Linked DNA regions of Macaca mulatta. The protein of the gene in region 1 interacts with the protein of each later gene in a pairwise test. Links are inferred from orthologs where the notes say so. Each region holds a gene or a part of one and is shown on either strand. Other genes may lie near its edges.

Region 1 (9,639 bases):
TTAGTGGTAGAGTCAAGATTTGAACCAAGGCAGGCCTGCCTTTGGATCAGGCTCTAGCATCCATGACTTAATTGCTGTGCTTAAGTTGCCTCTCTAAGCCACTAGCTATGATCCAGGAAAGAATCAACAAATATTTATGGGAGACAAAGGCAGGCAGATCTCTTGAACTCAGGAGTTCAACACAAGCCTGGACAACGTGGCAAAACCCTGTCTCCACAAAAAATACAAAAAATTAGTCGGGCGTGGTGGCATGCACCTGAAGTCCCAGCTACATGGGGGGCTAAGGCAGGAGGAGTGCTTGAACCTGGGACGTTGAGGCTGCAGTGAGCTGTGATCGCGCCACTGCACTCCAATCTGGGTGTCAAAGTGAGACCCTGTCTCAAATATAAATAATTTTTTTTAAAACCACAAATATTTACTGAGAGTCTACTTTTGCCTGGTCCAGTTCCAGTTACTGGTAATTCCTTAGGAGTAGACGAAATAGACAAAAACTCCCGCCCTAATGGTACTTACATACTACTGGGGGATAACAAAATTAATAAGTAAAATATGTAGATTGTGATCATCATTATGGAGAAAAATTAAAGAGGGAAGGAAAAGGGTAATAGAGAGAGTCGTTTTTTTAAGTATTAGGAGTGAAACCAGGCACAGTGGCTCACACGTCTAATCCCAGCACTTTGGGAGTCCGAGATAGGAGGATCACTTGAACCCAGCAGTTCGAGGTTGCAGTGAGCTATGATCACACCTCTGCACTCCAGCCTCAATGACAAAGCAAGACCCTGTCTGTAAATAAATAAATATTAAGGGTGACTTTTGAATAAAGGCCAGGTGTTGTGAGAAGGGGAAAAGTAAAAAATGAAGTCAGAGAGTTTGGCAGGGACCAGATCATGAAGGTCCTTGGAGGCCGTTGTAAAGGACTCTTTGGTGAATGGGAAGGCACTTAGGATTTAGAGAAGAGAGGTGTCATCTGACTTACATTTTAGAAGGCTCACTGGCCAGCTCTATGTTGAGAATAGACTGCAGGGCTGGAGGTACAGGGGGAAGACCAGTCAAGAGGCTATTGCTGATAGAGATGATGGTAGCTTGGATCACAGTGACGGAGATGATGAGAAGTGGTCAAATTCTGGATATATTTTTTTTAAGTAGGGACAGCGAGATTTACCGATATGGGGTATAAGAGAAAGAAGAGTCAAAAATTGCTCCAAGATGCCTGACCTGAGCAGCTGGAAGAATAAAGTTACTGTTGACAGAGATAGGAGTGGGTTTAGGGGAAAGACTGGGAGTTCACTTTTCAGCCTGTAAATTTTGAGATGCCTGTTATACATGTAAGAGGAGATGGCCAGGAGACAGTTCATGCCTCCTGGAGGATACTAGCCAATACATTTCCCATACAGACTCTACCCCTTTCTATACAGTACCCCTCATCTCTCTTGATCACTCCCAGAGACTTGGTCTGAATATAGTGGAGAAGGTGCAGAGAACAAGCCTAGAGGTTTGAGAGCCAGGTGTAGGGACTGTCAGCAGCTCAGGATCTGGGGCTCCTGAAGCCAACTAAGCCTCCGTAAGTATGTCTTAGGCACTAGAGGCAAACCCGGTCTGGAGGACTCTGAGGATGAGGTAAGCAGTGCCTTTGGGGAGGGGTGAGCAGGCTGGAGCAGAATCCACTCTGCATGGAGCTGAGAAGCAATGGGGACTCTGAATTTACTTGATCCTCAGGTCCTGAGAATGTCACCCAGCTGGATACCGGGAGTGAGAGGAGGAGGCGGACTTGCAAAGGAGGCTCTAGAATTTAGAATCTAGATCTCTCAGAAAGCTCAGAAACCTGGATGGGGAAACTGAAGATCCTTGCCCTGTGGTAGAGTAAGGGGTGGAATAAAAGGTAGCAGTGGAGGGCACAGTCATAACCTGAGTCCTGGGCAGCTGACTACTGTGACACTGCATAAGAGGCCCGGGTTTCTGAAGCCAGACGGACCTGTGTTTAAATCCTTGCTCTTCCACTTATTAGTTATGTGAGCCTGGGCGCCTCTTTGTAACTTCCATTCTTCACCAGTGAAATGGGAATGATAACACCAAGGGTTTCTTGAATATTGAATTGGTTACCAGGTGTGGAAGCACTTTGTGAACCATAAAATGCTGCAAGTTTATAAGGTGCTGCAAGTGTTTTTTATTACTGCTTTGCTCCCAGGGATGAACCTGGCCTCTGCAGAGGTGGACAAGCGTGTTTTGAAGTTTGGTGTACACCCAAGGAGAAGCACTACACTACAGAAGCCCCAGCCTGAGCCAGCTTCCTGCTCCCACTGCTTCAGGCTGGTTCACCTCTGCTACATTTCCCCTGACTTAGCTCTGCTACGTTTCTGCAGGTCCCGACACAGCTGCAGCGGCTGCTGCTGCCACCACTGCCGCCCAGTGGCTATTTCAGGAAAAGACCTCTCCCAACCCTCCCCAACCAGCACCCCTGATTGGCTTTTACTATCCTCACCCGGGGCCAAGAGGAATGGAATGCAGCGGATCAGCCTCACTCTCTTCTGTGAAACTCTTCTTTACTTTGGTTTCTGTGACTTTGCTTTACTCCGGTTCTCCTCTTCCTCTGGATGTTCCTTCTGGCCCCTTCCCTGGCTCTTTTTTGCCCTACTTTCCCCACATGTGAGCCTTACCCCAAAGATTCCTCTCCTCTCCTCTCCTCTATCTCCCTCTCCACCATCTCTCTCCCCCCTACCCCCACCCTCTCTTCCCCTTCTCTCTTGGAACATCTACTCTCATGATTTCAACTATGACTCAGAGGTTATCAAAAATTGGTAATGGCCAAGAGACTCCAGCATACAGATCTCTCTCTAATCAAAATGCATCTCTCCTTCTCTCACACTTTTATCACATTTCATTTCTACAGAGATGGCATATACCACAGGCAGCCTAGAATTATACTCATTTGTGGTTTTGGCCATCTCCTCCTGATCCTCCCACCCCCATACCAGAACCAGAGCTCCTTGAGAACATGTACCTCATTGTACCTCTGTCTTTCCCATAGCCTTCCAGGTGAAGTTATTATAACATATGTTCTAGATATTTTATTTCCAATTATATTCTCTGCTGTCCCCATAAAAATGCCTTCCAACTCAGAGTTAAGAAAACAAGTACCTTGCACATAGTAAGTGTTCAATAAATAGTTGTTGAATGTTGAATGAATGAATAACTTAATTATAATTTGTTGAATTGAATGGTTCCCACATCTATAATCTAAGCCCTATATATATTGTTTGCTACAGGACACACACACTTGGGTATCTCATTGACGTCTGGAATTTAGTATGCAGAAAAAGTTTACTATTTTTCTCATGACAGAGATAAATAAGATGTACAAATACCATTATTGCTGACACCCTTCCATTGCCCTACTCCTCCAGTTTGTTCCAGTCCTCTCCCTCTTGGCCCTTCACATCTACTATTCATAATTGTCTTGATGACAGTTTCTTTGCAAGATTTTCTGTTTCCTTGGAGCTTTAAGAAGGAAACGGAGAAGAGGCATGATTTCTAATATCTTTCTCTGAGTTAAGAGGAAAGGAAGGAAGGAAGGAAGGAAGGGAGAGAAGGAGGGAAGGAGGGAGGGAGGGAGGAGGGAAAGGAGGGATAAAGGTAGGAAGGAAGGGAGAGGGAAGAAAATGAGGGAGGGAAGGTAAGTGATATAGTGGAAAAAATGCAGGCTTGGAGTCAGACAGACCTAGGGTTGAACTCTGGCTCCATTGCCTGGCAGCTGTGACTATGGATAAGTCTTTCTGAACCTCCATTTCCTCATATGTAGAATGAGGATGCTAGCACCTAGCTTGTTGTGAGAAGACAATGAAGCAATGCATGTAAGGAACCCAGCAGAGTGCCCTCATTGTCGTTATTGAGAATTAAAGTATAGGTGTATTTGGAAGGTGTGAGGTCCACTCCAATTGGCTGAATTTTCTTTCTTTTTTTTTTTTTTTTTTTTTTTGAGACTGAGTCTGGCTCTGTCGCCCAGGCTGGAGTGCAGTGGCCGGATCTCAGCTCACTGCAAGCTCCGCCTCCCGGGTTTACGCCATTCTCCTGCCTCAGCCTCCCGAGTAGCTGGGACCACAGGCGCCCGCCACTTCGCCCGGCTAGTTTTTTTGTATTTTTTAGTAGAGATGGGGTTTCACCGTGTTAGCCAGGATGGTCTCGATCTCCTGACCTCGTGATCCGCCCGTCTCGGCCTCCCAAAGTGCTGGGATTACAGGCTTGAGCCACCGCACCCGGCCCTGAATTTTCTTTATGAAGTGAACAAATGGAATTACTTGCTGAGAGTAAGTGGAACAAGACAGTCACTCAACCTTGACGGAAAGGAGTAGTGATCTGAAGCCCTGGATGTCTAAACTTACTAATGAAATCATGGGGAAATGACTGGCTCCACATAGTTGTACCCAAGTTAGCTTTGTTCATATGTATTATCTGTAGTGTGCCCTTTTTGTCTTTCTACACACCCAACTTTATCTCCAGCAAGGCTGTTAACAACCTTAGAGTGGAGACCAGGACTAGTTTGTTCAGCGCCTAGGACAGCACAGGAAATCTGTTTCTGCGATTTAATCCATCTATCTCCGTTCCATCCTCCCCCACTGAGCTAATGCCTCATCCACATCCCACTTGAATCTTTTGCTATGTTTTCAGTTGCAATAACAGAAAATCCCAACTTAGATGACTGTTTTTAAAAAAGGAAATATATTATCTTGCATATAAGTTCAGTAGTGGGTGGCTTTGGAGCTGATTAATTCAGCAGTTCAACAATGTCATTAAAAAATCCTGATTCTTTCCATCTCTCCGATTTGAAACCTTGGCATGTTATTTAGCAACTTTCATGGTCACAGGGTGGCTATTGTCGGTCAGGCATTGTTTCCAGACATGGCGATATTCAATGGTAAAAGAGGAAGGCCTCTTCCTGTATGCTTATTTTTATCATTCAAGAAACCTTTCCCAGAATCTCTCCAGCATACCTCCTCTCACATCACAGTGGCCTGAATTTCACCATGCCTATAACTAAGCTGATCACTGGCAAGGGGGATAAAACGACCATGAGTGGCATAGAGGAGCACAGACCCATGCGGAGGAGGGTGAAATACCTTAAAAATGGGGATTCTTCCCACAAGGAGGAAGAGGGAGATGACTATTGAGTTGGTAAGCAATTCTGTCTGCTACAACCTTTTACTGAATAACCCACTCCTTCCTCATGCAGAGATCTGATCATCATTTTCTAACTGGAAGGTCTGGTTGGAGATATCATCCAGGTGTACAGAATGAGGGTGGGTAAGGACCTAAAAATATTTCCCCCACCAATGTATTATAGGGGCCAGAAACTCCATTAGATATGCATTCCTTTGCTTTCTTACTGTTGCATCCTCGTAAAATGCAAGTATTCCAGGTCAAAGTGAAACTTGTGACTGTTCTCTTCGGGAAGCTACTAACTGGAAAGAGGCACAAAGAAATTTTCTGGGGGAATGGAAATGTTCTATATCTTAACCTGGGTGGTGGTTATATGTGCGTTTACACAGGTGTATTAGTTTCCTATGGCTGCTGTAACAAATTACCACAGACTTGGTGACTTGAAACAATACACGGTTCTTCTCTTACAGTTCTGGAGGTCAGAAGTCTAAAATCAGTTTCAGTGGGCCAAAATCAAGGTTTCAGCAGGGCCATGCCTGAGCAGGAACAGCCATCTTGTGGCCGTGAGAGACTTTAGGGGAGAATCGATTTCTTTGTCTTTTCCAGCTTCTAGAGTTGTATTGCTTGCATTCCTTGGCTCATGGCCCCTTCCTCCGTCTTCAAAGCCAGCAGCCTAGCATCTTACTTCAGGCCTCATATTGCCTCCTATTTCAGAGTCAAAAGTCTCTCTGCCCCTCTCTCATAAAGAGACTAGTGATTACATTAGGGCCCACCTGGATAATCTAGAATAATCTCCCCATTTCGAGCTCCTTAATTTATTCACATCTGCAAAGTCTCTTTTTCATATAAGGTAACATTCATCGGTTCCTGGGATTAAGACCTGACATCTTTGGGGGGCATAATTAAGCTTGCCACAGTAGGTAAAAATTCATTGAGCTGCAGTTAAGATTTGTGAATTTTACCTCAGTCAAGAAATGCACAAACTTCTGGAAAAGAGTAATGATTTACATTCCATCATAATAATGAATTAAAGACCTAGCAGATCTACTCTCTTCCTACTGAGAGGTCCATGGATCTGAGTAGAAAGAGAAGAAAAGTGGGATTGAGTACCTAAAAGGGAGGTAGGAGCCTCAAGTGTGGGTCTAAAGACAAAAATAGGCTGACCACTAGTCATTCTAGAGATTCTGGGAAAGGTTTCCTGAATGATAAAAATAAGCATACAAGAAGAGAGGCCTTCCTCTCCTGCCATTGAATATTGCCATGTCTGGCATGAAAAGTAGATTCATTCTGACTTTTCACCTTCCTCGCAGACACCAACCTTGGCATGTATACAAGTCTTTCCTGTATGTCCAGCATCAGTTCCTATCCCACTGTGGTACCTGCAGAATCTGGGCTTCTCACACTATCTGAAAGTCCCTGAGAAGGAGAGAGTTATAGTAACTAAACAACCAGGCCCTGAGATGCATATTGGCTAGGAATGGCAGGGGCTGACACCGTGAACTGTGCAAAGAGAATATGGGACAGCTGTCCAGGGCCCTCAGTGAGGGGCAGGAGTTAGGGAAGGCCCTGCCCAGCCCTCTGAGTCATAGCCATAGCCATCCTCTGAGGAATGGACACCGCATTGTGGAGGTTGGGGTTAAGGGCTATGTCTATAGATAAGTACTAATGTCTAGACTGCTGTAAGGGGAGGTGAAGGAGGTCAGAGTCCTGAAACCCCAGAGCTTGTAGGTTCTGTCTCTACATTTTCTATGCCCGTGAAGCCTGAGCCTAGGCCCTGTGGGAAGGACAGTCAAGAAAGGAAGATTACTTTGTTGTTGCTGTTGTGGGGGTCCTGGCAGCTGCAGAGACAGAAATATCTCTAATTCCATGAGCGGTCATACGAGGCAAGAGAAGCTGCTTACAGCATGGACTTAGTTTCAGGGATTGGACAGAGTCAAGAGCTGGGGTGAGGAGGTTTACCCTAGGTAGGGGTGATAAGATGTCAGCCGCCTATTCCCTCGACATGCATGTCCTGCCAGAAGAACCTGTCCCCGGGCTGGGAATCTTATATTACCTTCCTCTCCAACGAGAAGAGAAGTTCAAGGCTCACAGACATGTGCACACACAGCTCAATGCACTCAGCTCCCCCTCCACCACTCCTGCCCCCACTACCTACAGGAGATTGACTCCTGCTGTGCACATAAGCTGGGATAATCGGGGTTTCTAAACATCAGCTTCAAGAGTCCAATGTCCCAAGTGGTGGGCGGCTTGGGGACGAGGTACTCTTTCCCATACCCTTGGCTTTTGTGTGGCCTGGAGCTGCTGATATAAAGATTGGAGTGTGACACAAGGTATTCCTTTCAAAAACACAAAGGCCTATACTTTGAGCCCTCCCATTTCAATCCCCCACCATGCTTCACCTTTAAGACCTCCAACTCCACTTTGATCCCAGTTCTCAGGTTCAAGGCCTCACAAGGCCAAAATCCTGAAGTTACCCTTCTCAAACTCCCCTGCCTTTAACATCATCAGAATCAACCTCCTACCCCCACTCTGTCCCAGCAGCAATAGCCTGCTAATCTTTTAGCCACTAATCTTTTAGGCACTAATCTGCTTTCCAAACTCTTGGCACCTGAACTATTTATAGCAGTGTTTCATGCCCCCCCCCAAGAACCCTATTCTTTTCTGATGACCCCCACCAATCAAAACACTCAGAGGACTGTGGGTATAAGAGGCTGGGGAGGCAGGCATAGCAACCAGAGCTGGAGACTGATGTGAACTTCATCTCTCTCCCCAGGTAATATTCCAGAGCCCTCGACTTCTAGCCCATACTAAACCCTATATCCCTTGCTCTTAGCATCCCCCTTAATATATCAGGCAGCAGTTGAGGGACACCCTTCCTGACATAGCCTATAGACATTCAGGCCTAGAGACCCTCCAAAGACCTCTGGAAGCTCCCCTAAGCTCACCCCCTGGGCCAGGCTCAGTAAGCATCAAAGAGAAGCCCTAGAGAGACATCTCCCTCTCTCTAAGGATTCCCACCCAAAGGCCTAGCCCCTGGGGACCTGGACGGGGATAAGAATGGGAAAATCTAGGGAAGGCAATGAGAGGGATGAGTTGGTTCAAGGAGGACTTTCAACCTCCAAAGAGACTTCTGTCACCAAAAACTGAGAGTATGAAGGCACCAACCCCTTCTCTCTCACACTTTTCTCCATTCTTTGTTGACAGTCAAGGCCATCATGAGGTGAACTCAGGCTCAGGATCCATTGCAGTAGCAGAAGGAGACAGAATCCATTCATTTGTTCATTCATTCATTCATTCATTCATTCATGTATCCCACAAACATGTCTTGGCACCTAGTGTGTGCCAGGGGATGTCTAGCCTCATACAGACCAAGAAACACATTTTTCTCAAACTTTTCTGGATGGAAACCTCTGTCCAGCCTCTTTCCAGAGAAGTTCCTTCTCTCTGAGGGCTCTCAAGAGTCCCCCAGCCATTCTAGGAAGTTTGGCCCTTTCTGGAGAATAGATAGTATGGTTAGTCAATGATTTGTACAAAATAGGAAAGTTTATTTTCCCCTCTTGCCCAAGATGGGCAAGAATACGGCTGAAGAAGTACCCTTGGCAGAAGGGAGAATAGGAGGTACTTGATGTGGGTGAGGTGTCTGTCTAAGGAAGAAAGGTTACATCACACTAGGTGTATATGGATGGTATGCTGGAGTGGGGTGAGAAGAATGGAAATGAAATGATTGAGCCTTTCTTCTTTCCCTTTTCGCAGAAAAGGCTCAACATCAACTATATAGCCAACATGTCCAAGTAAGAACTCCTTCTAATCTTTTGAATCTGTGAATTGCTCCCTACCCCAATCCAAGTATTTCCCTTTGGGGTAGGGGGATTTCCAATCTCTCCCTAACTTGTGTCCTTGGATTCTATCCCGATTATCTCTACCTTTGCCCCATCCTATGCTCCTGGAGCCTCTTCTCCTAATCCTAAGAATATTTCTTTTCTCCCCACTTCCCTTATTTCCTCTTCCCTGCACTTCCAATCCCCCTCTCCATCCTCTTTCTGGTTTTCTCCCCATAGGGTGTTTAAGAAGACCAGCTCCAATGGGAAGGTGAGAGAACCTGGCCCAGCTGGGCAAATGAGAGGGCAAAAGGGATAGGTGGGTACATCCTTCAAGGTCTCAGGGATCTGGGTTGGGGGCTTCAGGGGAATCCATTCCAAAATGATTGTGAGAATAACATGCAAAGTTGTTCCACAACAGCTCTCCATCTACCTGGGGAAACGGGACTTCGTGGACCATGTGGACATGGTGGAACCCATTGGTCAGTGAGTCCAAAAAGGGGAAGCCTGGGGAAAGAGGAATGGAAACTAGGGAGTAAAAGAAAGTCCAGGAGAGACTGTGCAGAAAAGGAGGCAAATTAAAGGGAAGAATGGGAAGAACCATTTCAGGGATCATCTTCTATTTCATAGTCTTGAGAGCTTTTCCTGACCAAAGTGCTGTCTGTCCTTC
Region 2 (9,770 bases), on another chromosome or scaffold:
CAAAGTTGGAAGAAGCCTGCCCCAGGCTCTCCCTGCCCAGCTCCTGTGGACCTGCCCCGGGTCCAGACGCAGCCTTCCCTGCCTTCTGGCTCCCCACGGGCCCTGGGCGCCAGCCCTCCCTCCTCCAGGCGATGCACTGCAATTTCTCCCATCTTTAAGATGAGACCATTTTTCTCCACGGGGCTGTGTCCACTCTGTCACCTCCCTTCTCCTCCAGAAAGTACTCTAGCCCAGGAACTCCACTGTCTGCTCTGCTCAGGGGCCTCTCTACCAGATTCAATGGGCAGTGTCCTTTGCTCATAGATTCGATCTTGGGGCTGGATTTATCCCCCGACCTCTTTCTCTCCTTGAAACATAGGTGCTCACTTGGATTCCAGGGCTCCAAACCTGCAATTTTCCTTCTCTCTCAAGGCGGTAGCAGCTCTCCCTACCCCCTTCTCTTGCCCTCGTCCTCCCCCTCACTTTCCTCCTCCTACTTCCCCTTCTCTCCCTTCTCCTCCACTAACCCCTTGGGCTCCCAGGGTCCGGGGCTGGCATTTCACAGGGTCTGCCCTCCCTGGGGCTGCTTCTCAAAACACACTCAACCCTCTTGTCCCAACTCCTGCTACACACTGTGACTCCAGATTTCCACCTCCAGCCACAGCTTTCTGTCCCAGAGGGTCATCCCCACTTGTCTCCCGGGCATCTGAAAACCAGCAAGTCCCAAATCCACCAACTCAACCCCAAACCCAGCCCCTTCCTGGAAACCTGCTTCCTTGCATCTGCCATCTCTAGAGGGCCCGTTCAGTCACCCAGTTTCAGCCCCAGTCACAGCCGTTCCTCACTCCTCTAACACGGGCAGCATGCCTTCAACACAGAGCCTGGACTGGGCTACTGCTCACCAGCTGTGCCCCCACCAGCCAACTCCAGGAACCGAGCATCTCCTGCCTGGATCTCTACAGCGATTCCTAACAGGGACTCTGCTTCATCTGTTCTGCACAGTGATCTTGCTAAAATCAAGATTCCGATAGGCCACACTCCTACTTGAAACCCTCTAATGACTATAAAATCCGGTGACCTGGTTCCAGCCTCACCATTCTCACTGTTCCTCTGCCCAGCTGAGCAAGCACACGCTGTTTCCTTTGCTGGAATACTCTTCCCACACTCCTCTGCTCAGGGGCCCCCCCACCTGCTCTCCACTCAAATGTCACCTCCTGACAGAGGCCCTACCTGAACATCCCCAGCACACGCTTCCCCACCATGTTCTATTTCTTTCATGACACCTATCACCAATGGCGTTATATTGCAGAATCGCTGATTTATTATTTGATTCCCCTCCCAGCTCCTTGGATCATTCTTCTATGGTCTCCCCATGGATGGAATCATTGGCACATAGCAAACATTTCATAAAAACAGATATGATTGGCAATATCATATTCATACAAACCGAATACATGCACACACTGGGCATGACGATGGCGCGGTCCTTGAGCACGATTTACGTGCAGGGTCCTCTTCCCGATGCTTCACCCGTGGCATCTGATACAACCCCACCTCGTCCACTGCGTCCAGAGGCAAACACCTTCCCCACGGGCTCCTGTGCCCCCACCCAGCTCTACACCATCCCTCTCCTCTCATTCACCCGCCACCTTGCTTTGCACCACTCCCCCTTAGGGCCTTTGCTGTCAAGGTGGTCTCCATGTGGGAAAAAGGGACTCTGATCAACTCCTTCATCTCAAATACCACCTTCACAGTAAGGCCTGCCTGCCTGCCCTCCTCTTTAATACCATGACTGTTACCAGCCCCTCCCCAGCACTCCTGACTTCCTGATGCCTCTCCCTTTCCTTTTCTCTCCACTTTCCTTTTTTTCTGTAGCACAGATCAAAGAGAGCAGGTCATGTTACTGATTTTGCTTCCTCCAATAGCCAGTTGTGTTCACAGATTACCTGAGCACCTGGAAGGCTGCCTGGCACTCATAAATGCACAGGAGGTACTCGGTATAGGTTTGCTGAATGACAGAAGCTTCAATCCCACACAACCATCAAATGAGGTACACAGCATCATCCCTGTTTTCTGGATGAGGAAACTGAGGCACAGAAAGGTTATGTAGGCCTGAGGTCACCTGGCTAGGAATTGATGGGGCAGGATTTAACCCAGGTGCCTGACTCCAGAACTTTGACTCTTAAGCCCCGTTTTGAGCTAAATGCAGAAGCAGCATAAACAGCCCACTTTGTGCCTCAAAAGGTGAACAGTGAGAGGCACAACTGGGCAGGGACGTGTCAGGTCAGGGGAAGAAACTGAATTGGGTAGTGGGGATTAACTGGATACTGTCTGCCAGCAATTTCTGCCTCCTGCATTTTACCTGCTTTAGGGTTGCAAGGGGCAGAGCTATGAACACAGATGCCCACTCAACAGCCAGTTCCTGGGCCAGTCACAGGGTTGGGAGCTGTGGCACCAGGGCTCTGGAACCCCACAGACTAGGATGTTTGCCAAAGCACCTAAGCCCTACCAGCCTTCCCACTTCCTCTCCTCCATGTCACAGTTCCTGGCTGGTGTTCCTGAGAGCAGGCTGTACATGAGTCCTGTAAATGTCAGTCCAGTTAAGTCAAAGGGGGTGGCTCCTCCTTGCACCTGTAGGCTCCAGCTAAAATCTGTGTGGCCCTGCCGGGCATCTGGCTGTCATCTGGGAAACAATCACTGTTCACAAACAAGGGCTTCACTCCTTCGCTTGGTCCATCTCCTGCTAAAGTCAGAATGTGAACATTGACAAACAGCGGCTCCCAGTAACTCTGCTACTCAGAAGTGATTATTCCAGCAGTTCAGAGGAGGAAGTGGTGGTGCCCAGGGCCACGGGATTAGAAGAGTAACAGAGCTAAAGGATCCTGTGCCTCAGTCCAACCACCTTGTCCCCACTTACTCAGCCGGGCCACTTTCTCTGGGGAAACCGATTTCCTTCTGCTTGCCCTTGAAAGGGGATCCTAAGGAAATCGGAGCAACGGGCAGTAGCTACCCTCTGGAAGATGGAGAACCTTCTCCCCTTCTGCGTGGGAGAATCCAATTTCGGTGCAGAGCAGATGGAGAAGGGGCCATGGGAATCAGGCCTGCCCAGGGACCGGGTTCACACTTTCTCTCAAGCTCTGGAGCCTGAAAAATGACCACTCCCCGGGGACGACCCATGTCAGAATTTGGGCTATATTCAGCACAGTGTAGCAGCCAGCAGCCCTGTCTCAGGGTGGGGTCCGGAGGCCCTCATTCCTGCTTGCCCCTCACTGCCACATGACCTTGGGTCAGAGTCCCTCATCCTCTCCCTCCGCCACTGCGCACAGCGGTAACCGTGTTCACTTCTGCGAGCCCCGTGACCCCCACTCAGGGCCAGGACTCACGGCAGACCCCCTGCGCATCCCTCAGGGTCGTCCCGAGGCTCGGAGTGGCCTCCGGCTGCGCGGCCTTTCCTAACGCGGGGACTCCGCACGTGGGCGCCAGGCCCGGAAGGCGCGGGTGCGAGCGCTACCTTTGGCGTCCCGCAGCGACGGGAGGGGCTGGGCGGCCCGGAATTCGGCTGGCTGGGGCTCGCAGGGGGCGTCTGAAATGAGGCGGCCGACGGCGCGCGGGGCCTCCTCCCTCCGCTCCATCCCGCACCCCCAATTCCAGCTTCCATCCCAGCCGCGCCTCCCGGTCGGCCGTTCCGGGCGTCCACCGGCCCGCGTGTCCTGGGGGCGCCGGAGAAGGAGAACAGCGGAGAAAAGAGCCCCGGGCTGACTTTCCGGACCGGCGGGCCCGCGGGGAGGACCGGGCGCGGCGACGTGGCTGACCCACAAAGCCCCCGGCCCGGCGGCCAGGCCCAGGCGCGCGCGGAGCTGGGCGGGCCGGGGGTGTCGGATGTCACCCCCAGCGCACACCTCGGCCGGGGGGCGGGGGAGCGAACCACTGAGATGCGGAGACCTCCCCGGTCCTAGAGCGGAGCAGGAAGTGTCCCAGGGGAGGGAGCCGGAGGGCTCCGGCCTTTCCTTTCCTCGGCGTCCGGCGGGCTCCGGCAGTGGCCAGGCCTGCGCCGCCCGCCAACAGGGACGAGTCGCGGCGGTGAGTGCACCCCGGCTCCCGCGGCCGGCCCCGCCCCGCCCTCCTCGGCCCGCGCCCGGCCTCCGCGGCGCCGCCTCCCGGCCCAGAGCCCAGCGCTCAGGAAGGTGCGGGCGGGGGAGAAAGCAACACCATTGTTTTTCAGGCGCCTCCATTTGCCCCCGAGCCGAGCCGTGGCGTTCCGGATGGTCGGGAGACGCGGTCTGGACGGGCCGGGAAAGGAGCCGGGCGCCTGCGGAGACGCCGCCTCAGCGAGTACGCCCGGCCGGGCGGGCCGGGAGGATGAGGACGGCTGCCCTGGACTTCCGCCGCCACAGGAGGGCTTTCGGCCGGACGCCGGGAGGGAGCTCCGGGCTGTGAGGTGAGGAGCCCCGGAGCCGGCGAGACGGGAGACGCGCGTGTGAGGGAGACCGAGGGCGCGGAGGGCGCGCTCCCCCTTCCCTGGCCCGCAGCGACCTTCTCCTTCCCCTTCTGCCGATCCGGCTCGGTCCCTCCTCCGCGAACGGCTGGGAGCTCGCTCCGCCCCTGCGGGGCCCTCCTCCGCCTCACTCACGTTAGTTCATTCATCAGGCGTCTCCTCCGAGCCTCCGACGCGCCAGGTGCCGCCGTGACAAAGACGGACGCGGCCGTCTGGTTGGAGACGATCCGAGTGGCAGCCCGGGTGGGCGCCGGTGCTCCGGGGGGGCGGACCTGAGTAGTCCTGGGCGCTGCAGGTGTGTGATGGGCGCCGCAGGGGGCCGCCGAGCAGGGCGGGCGGGGCCCACCCCGGGCTCCAGATGCCGGAGCCGCCTTGGAAGGGAATCCGGTGGTGGGGAGCCCTGTAATGCGTCCAGCCCGACGCCTCCACGGCCCCCATATGCGTTTCTGTATGTGTTGTTACTTTGGAAAGCAAGGAGATTCAGAGCAGTGGGTGTTTCTGGAACCACTGAGTTGTTTCGTAGCTTTTCTGGCATCACTTGTCTTCCTGTGAAATGGGAGTGAGGCCCGAGTCCCCCTTGTGAGCTGTTGGAGGATAAGGCGCGGCCACGCTGGACAACCTCCTGCAGATGGAGGAGTGGCAGGCACTGCCGGTCCTAAGGATCACAGAGGCCTGATGGCAGAGAAGGGCACCGTGAGTGTCCCCATGTGCCCTTTCACGGGTCAGTGTTCTAGGGTGCGAGTCATGAACACCAGCCAGGTATACTGGTTGCTGGTCTCTTTTGCCACCCTGTATGTGTCGGCTAGTTGTCTGCACACCAGCGGGGAGGTGGAGGGACCCCTGAGGCCCACCTTGAGGGTGTGGCAGCTGCAGTGTCCAGGGGTTCTTTGAGGGCTGAGCTGTGCCGTGACGGACCCACTCTCCTGTCCTGGCCGAGGAACGGCTTTCGCGGGTGTGCCGTTGCCTTGAATGTGGTTTGAAGAGGTCAAGGATAGACAAGAGGGTGGAGGCGAGGTTGAACGTCAGGCAAGTGTTGGCAGAAGGTTCATAGGAAACCACTGATATTTCTAAATGCAGTGTTATTTGTCCCCCGTGGACTGCATGTGGCTGTCTCATGTGATGTTCCCTGTGTCTGGGTATTTTCCCTGCCTCCCGTTGCAGACTCTGTTGGGCAAAGCTGATTCTGGCTGGGTTGTCCATCCAGCACTGAGCACCATCAGCCCTCTGCCACCAGCAGGATGGATTTTCCATTCCTGGATGTGCTGGAAGGCTCATCCGATGCATGTCTGTCTTTGTCTTTCCAGCTCTATTTGTAAAGGTCTTGAGAACAAGAACAGTGACTTCGGCTGCGGAGCTTCAATATAGTGGCCTGCTTGGCCTGCCCATCTCGGGTCTCCCGGAGGACCCAGCCACTTAAGGTACCAGAGAGTCTTGATTACATCTGCATGTGGCGCTGTTGGTTTCCTGGGATGCTCAAAACACCAGTGTCACGTTGAAATGCCACCACTTTCTCCCAGATTTCCTGCCTTGTTCATCCAGTCACCCGCTTACGGGAATCCACACGTAATGGTACTGATGGGGGGAGGGTATCTTTCTGTCTGTTTCATTCTGTGTGTAAAGACCAGCCACACCGACACTCCCTACCTTTCCCAGGGCTTCTCCAAAGGGCTGGTCTCTGAGGGCATTGACAGTTTCCTTGTCACTGTCCCCCAGAAATGACCACAGGAGACCAGAACACTGAAGCCAGTGATTTCTGTTTGGAAATAGGGTCGTCTTCTGCTGCTGACCCCCATCAAATCCCATCATGCCCACAGCCCTGTGCCCCCGAGTCTTGGCTCCGAAGGAAAGTGAGGAGCCCAGGAAAATGAGGAGCCCACCTGGAGAGAACCCTAGCCCCCAAGGGGAGCTTCCCAGTCCCGAGTCTTCTCGGCGCCTCTTCCGCCGTTTCCGCTACCAGGAGGCGGCGGGCCCCCGGGAGGCCCTGCAACGCCTCTGGGACCTGTGCCGGGGCTGGCTGCGGCCTGAGAGGCACACCAAGGAGCAGATTCTGGAGCTGCTGGTGCTAGAGCAGTTCCTGGCCATCCTGCCCCGGGAGATCCAGAGCTGGGTGCGGGCGCAGGAGCCTGAGAGTGGAGAGCAGGCTGTGGCCGCGGTGGAGGCACTGGAACGGGAGCCTGGGAGACCCTGGCAGTGGGTGAGTAGAAGGGGTGGGGCTGGGACGGGTAGAGATCTGGTGCTTAGACACTTTGACTGGGCCATGTATGCACTGGCCAGGGAATGAGGAATTCCACTGAGAGCCGTGTACTTTGGTTAGGACCAGACTAGAGTTTCCTAAGAAAGCCAGTTTTACTCCCTGAAGCCTCTAATTTGGGCATGATGGTGTCATGCCCCTTTACGGCCCAGTCCAAGGCCTAAGTGGAGCCTTTGGTGGGCAGCTGTGGAGTGGATGGTCACCAGGCCCAGGGAGAGATGGGACCTCTTCGCCTAGCTCTGAAAAGCTTTCTCTGGGATTGCAGCTCAAGCACTGTGAAGACCCTGTGGTGATTGATGATGGGGACAGCCCTCTGGACCAGGAGCAGGAGCAGCTGCCGGTAGAGCCCCACAGCGACCTTGCAAAGAGCCAGGATGCCCAGCCCATAGCCCTGGCACAGTGCCTGGGGCTCCCAAGCAGAGCACCAAGCCAGCTCAGCGGGGATCCAGGTATGCAGCCCGGGGAGTAGCAGGGGTGATCTGGGGGAGTGCACACCACACACTATACACTGGGGTGGTTTTTAAGCTGATGGCTTTTGCATCAGCAGTTTTCTCCTGTTCCCTGAGGGGCTGTGAGCTGTTATCAGGGTCTGAGTCCCTTCCTGGAGCAATTAAACGAGAATCTCATCAGGATGTTTGTTCTCTTCATGGTTCTAGATCCTCTCAGAGCTAACTCTTCTGTAAGTGGGTGTCACTGAGGTGGTGCCCTCTCATCTCTTTGAGGATGCATCTTTGCAGGATTTGTCAGTTTGATGACAGCTAGGACCTGCTGCATGAATGGAGCATGGCCATCTCTTGTCTCTTGGAACCTCTGTTTCTTTGGCTAAACAATTCCTATTTACAGGAGCATTGTGATTCTGCAAAGAGATATAAAAATACTTTGGAGAACAGAGGATGGTATCTAGTGTGTGGGACCAGAACATCAGCTAGACATGGTTTGAGTATGTGTATGAAGTACATGGTTGCTACAGAAAAGTAGTTTTGTCATCAGATAAACTTAGATTTGAATCTTCTGGGTATGACATGAGGCATGCTTCTAAACTCCGAAAGCCTCAGTTTCTTCCTCTGTCCAACAGAGATAGTAATTACCTTTTTTGGGGTTTTTGGACGATTAAATGAGATACAACCTATAAAAGGCTGAGCACAAAGCCAGAGATGCCCAAAACTTTTTTTTTTTTTTTTTTTTTTTTTTTTTTTTGAGACGGAGTCTCGCTCTGTCACCCAGGCTGGAGTGCAGTGGCGCAATCTCGGCTCACTGCAACCACCACCTTCCAGGTTCAAGCAGTTCTCTCGCCTTAGCCTCCCAATTAGCTGGGTTATAGGCGCTTGCCACCACGCCTGGCTGATTTTTATATTTTTAGTAGAGACGGGGTTTCGCCATGTTGGCCAGGCTGGTCTCGAACTCCTGACCTCAGGTGATCTGCCTGCCTCGGCCTCCCAAAGTGCTGGGATTACAGGCGTGAGCCACCGCGCCTGGCCGCCCAAAACTTTTAAGTACATATCATGGGAAACCAGTACTCTTGGGTTGAAGGAAGTCTGGCACGTGGGTTCCTCTGGGTGGACTTTCCACAGTGCTCTGTAGGTACAGTGGAAAGAGAGTGTCTAGGGGGCCAGGGGGGCTTTCTTAGGACTCTGGGTGGACTTGCCACAGTGCTGTATAGGTACAATGGAAAGAAAGTGTCTGGGGGGCCAGGGGGCGTTCTTATGATTTGCAGAAGTTGTGTTGGCCTTATGATAAGCTTTTCAGTAATAAAACCAAAATGCCTATTAAATATCTCTGTGTGGAAAAACTATAGTGACTCCTGTACAAATCATACAAACTCTTCAGCCTTTTCTTGCTCGTAAGTCAAGATTGGTGTGTCGTTTGCTGCCATAACAAAGTACCAGAGTGGGTGGCTTATGTAACAGAAATGTATTCTCTCACAGTTCAGGAGGCTGGTGTGTTGTTTGCTGCCATAACAAAGTACCACAGAGTGGATGGCTTATGTAACAGAAATATATTCTCTTACAGTTTAGGAGGCTGGAAGTCTGAAGTCAAAGTATCAGCAGCCTTGGGTTCTTCTGAAGCCTCTCTCCTTGGCTCTAGACGTGCCTAATGTTAACACTAAGAGAAGTTTGCAGATAGGCATTTAGAAGGAGCTAGGGGCTGAGCGCAGTGGCTCACGCCTGTAATCCCAACACTTTGGGAGGCTGAGGCGGGCGGATCACCTGAGGTCAAGAGTTTGAGACCAGCCTGGCCAAGATGGTGAAACCCCATCTCTACTAAAAATACAAAATTAGCTGTGTGTGGTGGTGGGTGCCTGTAATTCCAGCTTTTCGGGAGACTGAGGCAGGAGAATCACTTGAACCTAGGAGGCGGAGATTGCAGTGAGCTGAGATTACACCATTGCATTCCAGCCTGGGTAAAAACAGTGAAACTCCGTCTCAAAACAAAAAGAAAACAAAACAAAACAAAAGAAGGAGCTGGGAGGGGAAGTCTCTTATGCCACTGGCTCTCCTTGGGACCCGTAAAAACCTATGAATATCTGGCCCTGAAAGCTGACAACAAGCTTTGTGCCAGGACTCTTGGTGACGGGCAGTTTTCTTTCAGGGAGAGGAAGAGGAAGATGTTTACACTAAGAGAAGTTTGCAGAGCGAGTGTAACAGACACCTTCTCTCTCTGGGTCTCTTACATGGTCTTTCCTTTGTGTGTGTCTGTGCTTTATCTCCTCTTCTTGTAAGTACACCAGTCCTATTGGATTAGGGCCCACCCGTATGACCTGATTTTATCGTAATGACCTCTTTAAAGACCCTGTCTCCAAATACAGTCGCCTTCTGGGGTACCTAAGGATTAGGGCTTCAACATAGGAATTTGAGAGGAGCATAACTTAGCCCGTAACAACAGGCATAAGGGAAGCAGCCAGTCACCCACATAATGCACGTGCAAGTAGCTTGGGTTATGCAGGAAGTGGGGGGCTGTGAGAGGCCTTGTAGTGGGGTCTGGGAAGGCACGTAGGAGGAGGGGAAGAGTTTCAGGAACTACAGCAGCCTGTGCAGTTGCTTCTTG
Region 3 (9,702 bases), on another chromosome or scaffold:
GGAGGCGGAGCTTGCAGTGAGCTGAGATCCGGCCACTGCACTCCAGCCTGGGTGACAGAGTGAGACTCCATCTCAAAAAAAAAAAAAAATATCTAGCAAGGACAAACATAAAATTTAGACAAAACCTATGCTGACAAATCTGAAGGCCTTTTAATTTTTATTCCCCCAATAATTTTAAAGCTGGCTAGTTTAGTAAAGTTATACTTAAGTGAACTTGAAAATTATTTAGACATATTTACTTAATTTATGAGTCCGCCTTTTTTTTTTTTTTTTTTTTTTTTTGAGACAGGAGTCTTGCTCTCACACCCAGGCTGGCGTGTAATGGCGCGACCTCAGCTCACTGCAACATCTGCCTCCTGAGTTCAAGTGATTCTCCTGCCTCAGCCTCCCGGGTAGTTGGGATTACAGGGGCCCACCACCATGCCTGGCTAATTTTTGTATTTTTAGTAGAGACAGGGTTTCGCCATGTTGATCAGGCTGGTCTGGAACTCCTGAGCTCATGAGCCTCCCGCCTCAGCCTCCCAAAGTGCTGGGATTACAGGTGTGAGCCACCACGTCTGGCCAAGCCCTCTTTTACTTATAAGTCAATTTGGTAGACACAACATATAACAGTAAGTGTATATATAAGTAAATACATCTAGACACGTATACACACACATAAACGAAGATATGGAACGTTAGCCATGAGATGGCAGTACAAGCTTGACGGTTTTACTTTGCCCTAATGGATAATCCAAGGGAAGGCTGTGAACCAAAATTTCAGGTAAAGCAGTCTTCATGGCAGTTTTATTTTTATTTAATTAATTAATTAATTAATTAATTAGAGTTTTATTATTTTTATTAATTTATTATTAAAATTTATTAATTTTGTATTTTTAGTAGAGACAGGGTTTCTCTATGTTGGTCAGGCTGGTCTTGAACTCCTGACCTCAGGTGATCTGCCCGCCCCAACCTCCCAGTGTTGGGATTACAGGTGTGAGCCACTGTGCCTGGCCAAAGCAGTTTGATTTTATTTTTATTATTATTATTATTTTTTGAGACAGAGTCTTGCTGTGTCACCCAAGCTGGAGGGCAGTGGCATGATCTCGGCTCACTGCAACCTCTACCACCCAGGTTCAAGCGATTCTCCTGACTCAGTCTCCCGAGTAGCTGGGATTACAGGCACGTGCCATCATGCCAGGCTAATTTTTGTATTTTTAGTAGAGACAGGGTTTCAGCATCTTGGCCAGTCTGGTCTTGAACTCCTGACCTCATGATCCACCCTTCTTGGCCTCCCAAAGTGCTGGACAGTTTGATTTTTAAAGGCTAAACCTCCCCAGGCTCCAAGGAGCACTGGGGCCAAACAGTACCAAAGGAGAGCATCACCCGTTAACGAGGCCACCTGCTTAGAACAGTAGCACAAAAGCCTGGATGCATGCAACACCATCCCACTTTCCCATTAGACAATAAACTTTAGATTCTAAACGATTCGGGGGCCAAGCAGCATAGCAACTGTGAGAGAAAATTCTAAGGAGGGTTTAACACTAGACCTCAAAACCCCTGCCAAGGGCATCCCCTTTGGCAGTTTGAGGTCCCACGGAGCAGGACCAACAGAGTGTCCTCCTGGGGGGTCCAATGTTAGAGTTCTAGGTGTCTCTGGTGTTACTTAGGTGGGCACTGGTGCCACTTTGCATGCGTTCCCTCCAGAGCCTGCTATGAACTTTATAAGAATAGCCATGAAGTGTAGTAAGAGCTGGATGCGGGTGGGCCTTTTTGTTCCTTAGCCAGTAGAGTATGTAAGGGAAGAATTTATCATAAGAAAAGAAGGTTTAAATCCCCTGAAACAGGTGTGAGTTTGCTCCGACCTGCATTGCAGGTAGGAATCAGGTACCAAGTGTGGAAATAATTAAAAAAAAAAAAAAAAAAAGTCCTTACCCCTTCAAGGGCAGGGCGATTATTCCCATTTGTTCCTAGGCCTTCAGGCAATACCGGAGAGTGACCCCAGCCAATTGCCCTCAATTTCCAAGGTGCTACTAGAAAATAGCTGCTGTAAGACTGAAAAAGAGAGGAAAAAAAATGAAAAAGACCCAGATTCCTTAAGCGAACCGGGCAGTGGCAGTTAGGCTTCTCCACATGGAAACCCCTAGTTTCACTGGCCATGGCCAGAAACCTGCAGTTGCAGGCCAGGCGTGGTGGCTCACACCTGTCATCCCAGCACTTTGGGAGGCTGAGGCGGGCGGATCACCAGGTTAGCAGTTCGAGACTGTCCTGACCATCATGGTGAAACCCCATCTCTACTAAAAATACAAAAATTAGCCAGGCGTGATGGCATGCACCTGTAGTCCCAGCTACTCAGGATGCTGAGGCAGGAGAATCGCTGGAATCCGGGAGGCAGAGGTTGCAGTGAGCCGAGATTGTGCCACAGCACTCCAGCCTGGTGACAGGGCGAGACTCCATCTCAAAAAAAAAAAAAACAAAAAAACCTACAGTTGCTTCCATGTTTAGGCGCTGCCCACCAAGGGTCCCAAGTTGGAAATGAAGGAGGAGAGAGAGAGAGAGAGAGAAAGAAAGAAAGTGTGAGAGCGCCCCTGTAATTGAGCAGAAAGGAAAGGGAGAAAAATGAATCCCAAACTTTTGGGCTTACCTCTTTCCCCTGGCTGGCTCGCCAGAATATGTTAATGATGGAGGGTGTCCAGGTTCTTGGCATCTTGAACAAACAATTGGACAAAATGCACAAACAAAGCAAGAAAAGAATGAAGGATTTCATTGAAAATGAAAGTACACTCAACAGCAAGCGATCATGAGCATAGGGGCTCGAAGGCCGTGTTACAGAGTTTTTGTGAGTGTAAATACCCTCCTCAGGCCGGGCGCGGTGGCTCAAGCCTGTAATCCCAGCACTTTGGGAGGCCGAGACGGGCGGATCACGAGGTCAGGAGATCGAGACCATCCTGGCTAACACCGTGAAACCCCGTCTCTACTAAAAATACAAAAAACTAGCTGGGCGAGGTGGCGGGCGCCTGTAGTCCCAGCTACTCCGGAGGCTGAGGCAGGAGAATGGCCTAAACCCGGGAGGCGGAGCTTGCAGTGAGCTGAGATCAGGCCACTGCACTCCAGCCCGGGCTACAGAGCAAGACTCCGTCTCACAAAAAAAAAAAAAAAAAAAAATACCCTCCTCTTGGGGTATGCCCTATGTAAATGAAGAGGATGAAGTAAAGTTACAATTATAAAGTTATTAATGGTGGGTGTACACCTATGGAGAGGATATTTCCCATTATAACTGAAGTGTGAATTGGCCTTATGTTCCCTGCCTCCAGACGCTATTTTCCTGCCTCATGTGAAAGCAGAGGGTTTTTTGTTGTTGTTGTTGTTGAGACGGAGTCTTGCTCTGTCGCCCAGGCTGGAGTGCTGTGCCTGGATCTCAGCTCACTGCAAGCTCCGCCTCCCGGGTTTACGCCATTCTCCTGCCTCAGCCTCCCAAGTAGCTGGGACTACAGGCGCCCGCCACCTCGTCCGGCTAGTTTTTTGTATTTTTTTAGTAGAGACGGGGTTTCACTGTGTTCGCCAGGATGGTCTCGATCTCCTGACCTCGTGATCCGCCCGTCTCGGCCTCCCAAAGTGCTGGGATTACAGGCTTGAGCCACCGCACCCGGCCTTTTTTTTTTTTTTTTTTTTTTTTTGAGAGGGAGTCTTGCTCTGTCACCAGGCTGGAGTACAGTGGTGCCCTCGGCTCACTGCAACCTCTGCCTTCCCGGGTTCAAGCGATTCTCCTGGCTCAGCCTCCTGAGTAGCTGGGACTACAGGCGCGTGCCACCATGGCCCGGCTAATTTTTTTGTATTTTTAGCAGAGACGGGGTTTCATCGTGTTAGCCAGGACGGTCTCGAACTGCTGACCTCAGGTGATCCACCCACCTTGGCCTCCCAAAGCGCTGGATTACAGGGGTGAGCCACCGCGCCCGGCCAGCAGAGGGTCTTTAGAAGGGTTCTCAGTGATCCAGAAATTGGAAGCAAGGCCCAACTTACACCTTAGGAAGCTCAGGGAAAAGCCTGATGGTCACCTACAAAACAGAGGCACATTGGCCTCAAGGCGGGGAGCATTCTTCCAGCCCCGGCTCCGCCCCGGGCTTGGGTGGACAGACCAGCTTTACCTCCAGAGACTCCCCCTGTCTTCCCTGCATCGGCTGGCTAGCCCCACACACTTTGGCTGCACATTCTTTGTTTAGATCTGCTGATGCCTTCCTTCGCTGGGAACGGTCCAGTCCTGCCCGCCTGGCGCTCAGCTCTGTGGATCTGAGGTTTTACTTCCTCTCTTTCCAACTTGGGAGGGGGGGATGGAGTGGCAATCTCATTGCTCCCTCCTCTCCTGGCCCCTCTCGCCTTCTCCTGGAGACCCAGGTTAAGTGGGCAGAGGATTCCGAGGGTCCTCTCCTGCCGTGGGATTGCACAGAGGGCTGGGTCCGCAGGCTGGCTAAAAGGACCTAGCCCAGGATTGCAAGGCAGCGCCCTCCCCGCAGCTGTACAGCCTCAGGCGTCCGGCGCAAAGCCCAGCAGGGGCGTGTCCGCGCGCTTACCTGCCATTGGCCGGGTGGGGCGGTCGGCTGCCTGAAGTGCCTGTGCTATAAGTGCGGAGCGAGTGACTGCGAAGTCAGGCGCGGCGCAGGATGGTGGACAGCGTGTACCGGACCCGCTCCCTGGGGGTGGCAGCCGAAGGGCTCCCGGACCAGTACGCGGACGGGGAGGCGGCGCGCGTGTGGCAGCTGTACATTGGGAACACCCGCAGCCGCACCGCCGAGTACAAGGCATGGCTGCTCGGGCTGCTGCGACAGCACGGCTGCCAGCGGGTGCTCGACGTGGCTTGTGGCACCGGGTAAGCCCAGGAGGGGGCCGGGGGCGTTGCATGAGATCGGAGTCCGGCTCAGCCTGTACCTCGCGGCCGCAGAACCACAGGACCGGCACGTCGGGGCGGCCTTTGCCAGTCTGGAATGGGTGGGACACCAGGGCCAGGAGCAGGTACCTGCCCGGCAGAACAGGCACTGCGAGTGCCCCCTGAGGCCAAGGGTTGGGGCAGGGGTGCTCAGGGAGAGGCCACTGAGAAGGGAGACTGAGTGTGAGTGAGGGTGTGGGCAGAAAAGTGAGCGTCCTTAAGGCTGTGGAGCCAGGGCCACGGACAGACTCCAAATATTCCTCCTGTGACGGCCTTGGGCAGTGTTAACAGTTAACATTGCTCAACATTTGCATCTGTCAAGCCAGTGCCAGGAGCTTTTGATACATCAGTTTTTCAAACCCTCACAAAGCCCCATGAGGTTAAGCAGTGATACTCTCTCATTTACTACTGGGGAAGTAAGGGCTCAGCAAAGTAAAAGTCCCTCATACAACATCCACTGAAGAGGAGCTAACAGGCCCGGGTTGGTTAAGGTCTGTCCTGTGCTCTAAACCACCATGTTCTGCTGCCTCTTGTGCACACCTATTTTAACTTAGAGGAGCCTCAGCTTGTCTGTCTCTCAAATGGGAATAACACTATTTACCTCTCAGGATTGCCATGAGAATTACTGCATATTTGTAGAGTGCCTAGCTCTGAAGAGGCGCCTTAAACAAAAAAAAGTTGCCTCGTGGTGATAGGAAATAGATTTGTGAGGTCAGTGGAGAGGGCCTGGGGAGAGGAGGCAGAGGAATGGACTCTGAGAAGTGGAGACAAAAGTGTCTGGCACAGGGTCTCCTGGCCCTCCCAGGCTCCCCTGACTGCCCCTCTCTGTCTCTCTCCACTGGCCCTGCCCAGGGTGGACTCCATTATGCTGGTGGAAGAGGGCTTCAGCGTGACAAGTGTGGATGCCAGTGACAAGATGCTGAAGTATGCGCTTAAGGAGCGCTGGAACCGGCGGCACGAGCCCGCCTTCGACAAGTGGGGTATGCAGGTCTAGCCAGGCCCCGCCAGCCCAGTCACCAGGAACACTGTTCATTCTGCCTGGGGCTCCTTTAAGTGGGGGTGGGGGTGGAGTGTTGTGTTTTCCTCGGGGAGACAGCAAAATTTCCTCGGGGAGACAGCAAAATTACTGTAATTTCTTTGAAAAGCAAGGCTTAAGCTCCAGAATGAGACACTGGGTGTGAAGAGCTGGTTTTAACTGTGTTTATGGCATCTTGTCCCTCCCCTCAAAGAAAAGCCCATAAGCACAGAGCCCTCCTTCTGAACCAGGGTTCCTCCCCCTAACCGAACAGGGAGTTTTTGTGTCTTAAGAAGAATCCTAGGCAGGACTGCACTTGGTGGAGGTGGCTGCTACTGGTACCATGGTGCCTCCCTGATTCCTCTTTCCCTTCCTGGCCCCCAGTCATTGAAGAAGCCAACTGGATGACTCTGGACAAAGATGTGCCCCAGTCAGCAGAGGGTGGCTTTGATGCTGTCATCTGCCTTGGAAACAGTTTCGCTCACTTGCCAGACTGCAAAGGTGAGAGAGGGTGTGGCCTTGGGCATGGCCCCCGCCTTGAGCTGTACCCCCTTCCACAGACCTCTGGGCACCTGCTCTGCAAAGCAGACTCTCTGCCTCTCTCTGATTTGGCTCTGGTACCCCTGGGGAGGGGAGAGATGGGAGGGAGACTGGTGCTGGGGGCCCTGAGCAGATGGAGCCTTTCTGCCCCTGCCTGGCGCTCAGGGGACCAGAGTGAGCACCGGCTGGCGCTGAAAAACATTGCAAGCATGGTGCGAGCAGGGGGCCTGCTGGTCATTGATCACCGCAACTACGACCACATCCTCAGCACAGGCTGTGCACCCCCAGGGAAGAATATCTACTATAAGGTGGGGCCCTCTGGGATTGGGGGTGGGGGTGGGGTGGAGGGAGGGTCCAGTGGCCCCAAGGTAGGTTACAGAGGCTAACGCAGCCTGCCCCACCACCTACAGAGTGACTTGACCAAGGACATCACAACATCAGTGCTGATAGTGAACAACAAGGCCCACATGGTGACCCTGGACTATACAGTGCAGGTGCCGGGGGCTGGCCAGGATGGCTCTCCTGGCTTGAGGTACCACTTGGCTCAGTGGGGGTGAGGCAGTAGTTGGGGAAGCTGAGGTCACCAGTCCTCATGGTTGCTGGGGGCTCTGTTACAGTAAGTTCCGGCTCTCCTACTACCCACACTGTCTGGCATCCTTCACGGAGTTGCTCCAAGCAGCCTTCGGGGGCAAGTGCCAGCACAGCGTCCTGGGCGACTTCAAGCCTTACAAGCCAGGCCAAGCCTATGTTCCCTGCTACTTCATCCACGTGCTCAAGAGGACAGACTGAGTGTGGCCTCAGCTCCCACAAGCCTCCACCCAGGCACTGCTAGGCTCTGTCTTGAAGATCGGGACCAGCAGCCCCACACCAGGGCCAGCCTCTAGAGCAGACTACAGCTGGGGTGCAGGGATGTGGGTTCTGCAGATGGAAGGGTAAACAATATAGTCTGTGCCTTTTTCAGTACCTGCATGCCTTGTGTTTATGTCAGAAGGATCAGACTCCCACGATGCCCAGCCCCCCGCCCGCCCCCAGGGCTTACTCCTCCCATAACCCTGCTCTTTCCCACTCCAACCTTTCATGCCACAACACCAGTAGGGTGAGGGACACGTTTTATTTTCAGCCACAGAACTAGCCCTCTTAGGGCCCAATCCCCAGAACCCAAGGACCTGGCCCTCCTCCTGAGCAGATGGGCCTTCCTCTTAAAGCCAGCCTGGAAGGAGGGGCAAGTAGGCAGGAGATATCTCTTGAGCTCTTGCTGCTGTCCCAATGCCACTTTGCACCCCGGGATCTCCTGGAGGGAGGTGGCCTCCAGGTGGGTTGGCAGCAGCCTGAGGAGGAGCCCTTCCCTCCCAGATCTCTCTGTGGGCTATCGAGGTACCTGCAGCCATGCTGAGTGGGGTCCCAGGCCCTGGGGGGCTCCTAGCAGGCAGCAAACTTGTGCTGGATGCGCTTGTACCGGAGCAGCTCCTGTTCACTGACTGATGGTTGCAGCCGGGCGGCAGCCTGCAGCAGGTCCTCCATGGTGAGCATCAGTGCTGAGCTCCCTGGCTCCAGCCCTGGAGATGACAAGGTGGGAGGTGAGGCCAGATTCCCCATCCCGGCTAGGGAACAGACGCTGTGGTCTATGCCCAGGCAGGGGAGAGCCCTGGGATGGTGCCTTCCTGCTCAGGGTCTCCTAGATGTCAGTGATCTTCCCTCTGAAATCCAGGACTAGGTTTGTCTCCCACTCGTCTTCTTTTCCTTAAACATTTTTTTTTTTTTTTTTTTTTTGAGATGAGGTCTCTGTGTTGTCCAGGCTGGCCTCAAACTCCTGGGCTCAAGCAATCCTCCTACCTCAGCTTCTCAAGTAGCTGGGACTCAAGTGCACCCAGCTCCCCAATGGCTTTCTGGTTGACCTCTCAGGCCGGCAAGTGGCTCACCTTCCTCCAGGTCATGAACCCTGCGTTTGAGGGCAGCTGTCATGGCATCAGAGCAGAGAGAGTAGAGGTCCGCACCTGTCAGCTGGGGAGGGCAGCAATCTAGCACGTTTACCAGGCTCACAGATGGCTCTAGCTTGAATCTGTTGTGGGATACGGGAAGAAACAGAGTTGGCATCACCTCCTCCCTCAAAAGCCAGTGCTGACCAGCTCATTCTGCATGTTGCATGCATCCCTTAAGCATCCCAAGGCGCAAGCCCTTGGCAGTCTTCTTTTAACAGGGCATACTTGCGTGTGATGGCACTCAGAACACGTAGCTGGGAGGCCCGGTCCTCGTTTGCCCCCACAAACACCAGCTTGTCAAATCTTTAGGGAGATAGGCAGGTATAAGTTTCAGGGAGCCCAGCCATGAGGGGTGGAGGCACAGAATGAAGGTGGAGGTAAGCAGTACAAGGGGACCACCTGCCAGGCCGCAGAAGGGCAGGGTCCAGGAGATCTGGTCTGTTGGTGGCTCCGATCACAAACACATCCTGAGTGCTGTGCAGCCCATCCAGCTCGGCAAGGAGCTGAGACACCACCCTGGAGTGAAGGGAGCAAGGGCAAGAGTCCTTGGTGTCCCCCTTAGACTCTGCCCCTGCCTGTGGTACCTCTCCTTACAGGCAGTCTCATCAGGGCCCTCCACTCAGCTGTGCCCAGTGTGCCCCTCCAGGTAGGCCCCCATTCTCCTCAGTGGCCCCTGCCCAATTTCATGGCCCCTTTCAGCTTCCATTATATTACCTCAGAACTGAAACAGCAGGAACGTCTATCTCTGGACTCTTGAAGACTGCTGTGAGCTTTCTCATATCCTTCCCACCCTGGACCCCCCAGCCTCCATTCCCACTCAGACCAACACCTGTCCATCACTCCTCCAGAATCTCCACTTCGCCCCCGGCTTGGGGCCAAAGAGTCCAGTTCATCAAAGAAGATAATGCATGGAGCTGCAGCCCTGGCCCTGGCAAACACTGAAGAGAGATTGGGGCCCACAGGAGGGTGAAGCTCGACTTGCAGGGGGTTGAAGTTAGGCGAGAGCAGGGAGGGAAACTGGGGTCTGACAATATAGCACTGGCACCCCAGGTACTAGACCCAGCTGGGCAGGAACGTGACTTGTGGAAAGGAGGACTAGGAATGACCATGAGTAGCCTGGCAGTGGGGGTGGCTTGGGGCCATCAGGATTTGGGAAGCATGGGAAGCCCTGCTCCTCCCTGCTCACTCACCTTCCCGCACGTTCTCCTCACTTTGGCCCACATACATGTTAATGAGCTCTGGCCCCTTCACGCTGAGTGAGAGGATGT

What was found.
Region 2: the proteins of ARR3 (region 1) and ZNF496 interact in binary tests that used the Homo sapiens proteins (3 or more experiments, as listed by UniProt). The two-hybrid records come from large-scale screens. The link is inferred for Macaca mulatta from reciprocal best matches to the Homo sapiens genes ARR3 and ZNF496.
Region 3: the proteins of ARR3 (region 1) and GNMT interact in a two-hybrid assay, tested with the Homo sapiens proteins (2 studies listed by BioGRID and IntAct). The two-hybrid records come from large-scale screens. The link is inferred for Macaca mulatta from reciprocal best matches to the Homo sapiens genes ARR3 and GNMT.

The regions. Positions count from the first base shown.
Region 1 is NC_133426.1:76,781,357-76,790,995, forward strand, and holds the start of ARR3 (arrestin-C), read left to right. Parts: upstream 1-4,989; 5' UTR 4,990-5,118; coding exon 5,119-5,166; intron 5,167-8,904; coding exon 8,905-8,942; intron 8,943-9,209; coding exon 9,210-9,240; exon of another isoform or gene 9,241-9,288; intron 9,289-9,390; coding exon 9,391-9,451; intron 9,452-9,639. UniProt on the Homo sapiens protein: May play a role in an as yet undefined retina-specific signal transduction. Could bind to photoactivated-phosphorylated red/green opsins.
Region 2 is NC_133406.1:1,704,718-1,714,487, forward strand, and holds the start of ZNF496 (zinc finger protein 496), read left to right. Parts: upstream 1-3,981; 5' UTR 3,982-4,059; intron 4,060-4,201; 5' UTR 4,202-4,417; intron 4,418-5,778; 5' UTR 5,779-5,892; intron 5,893-6,241; 5' UTR 6,242-6,278; coding exon 6,279-6,668; intron 6,669-6,990; coding exon 6,991-7,174; intron 7,175-9,770. UniProt on the Homo sapiens protein: DNA-binding transcription factor that can both act as an activator and a repressor.
Region 3 is NC_133409.1:139,166,505-139,176,206, reverse strand, and holds GNMT (glycine N-methyltransferase), read left to right. Parts: upstream 1-4,630; 5' UTR 4,631-4,637; coding exon 4,638-4,843; exon of another isoform or gene 4,844-4,919; intron 4,920-5,752; coding exon 5,753-5,880; intron 5,881-6,086; exon of another isoform or gene 6,087-6,299; coding exon 6,300-6,416; exon of another isoform or gene 6,417-6,620; coding exon 6,621-6,763; exon of another isoform or gene 6,764-6,865; coding exon 6,866-6,987; exon of another isoform or gene 6,988-7,072; coding exon 7,073-7,244; 3' UTR 7,245-7,393; downstream 7,394-9,702. Other genes in the region: PEX6 (peroxisome biogenesis factor 6), read right to left, coding at 7,875-8,011, 8,375-8,514, 8,660-8,737, 8,834-8,950, 9,264-9,372, 9,625-9,686. UniProt on the Homo sapiens protein: Catalyzes the methylation of glycine by using S-adenosylmethionine (AdoMet) to form N-methylglycine (sarcosine) with the concomitant production of S-adenosylhomocysteine (AdoHcy), a reaction regulated by the binding of 5-methyltetrahydrofolate.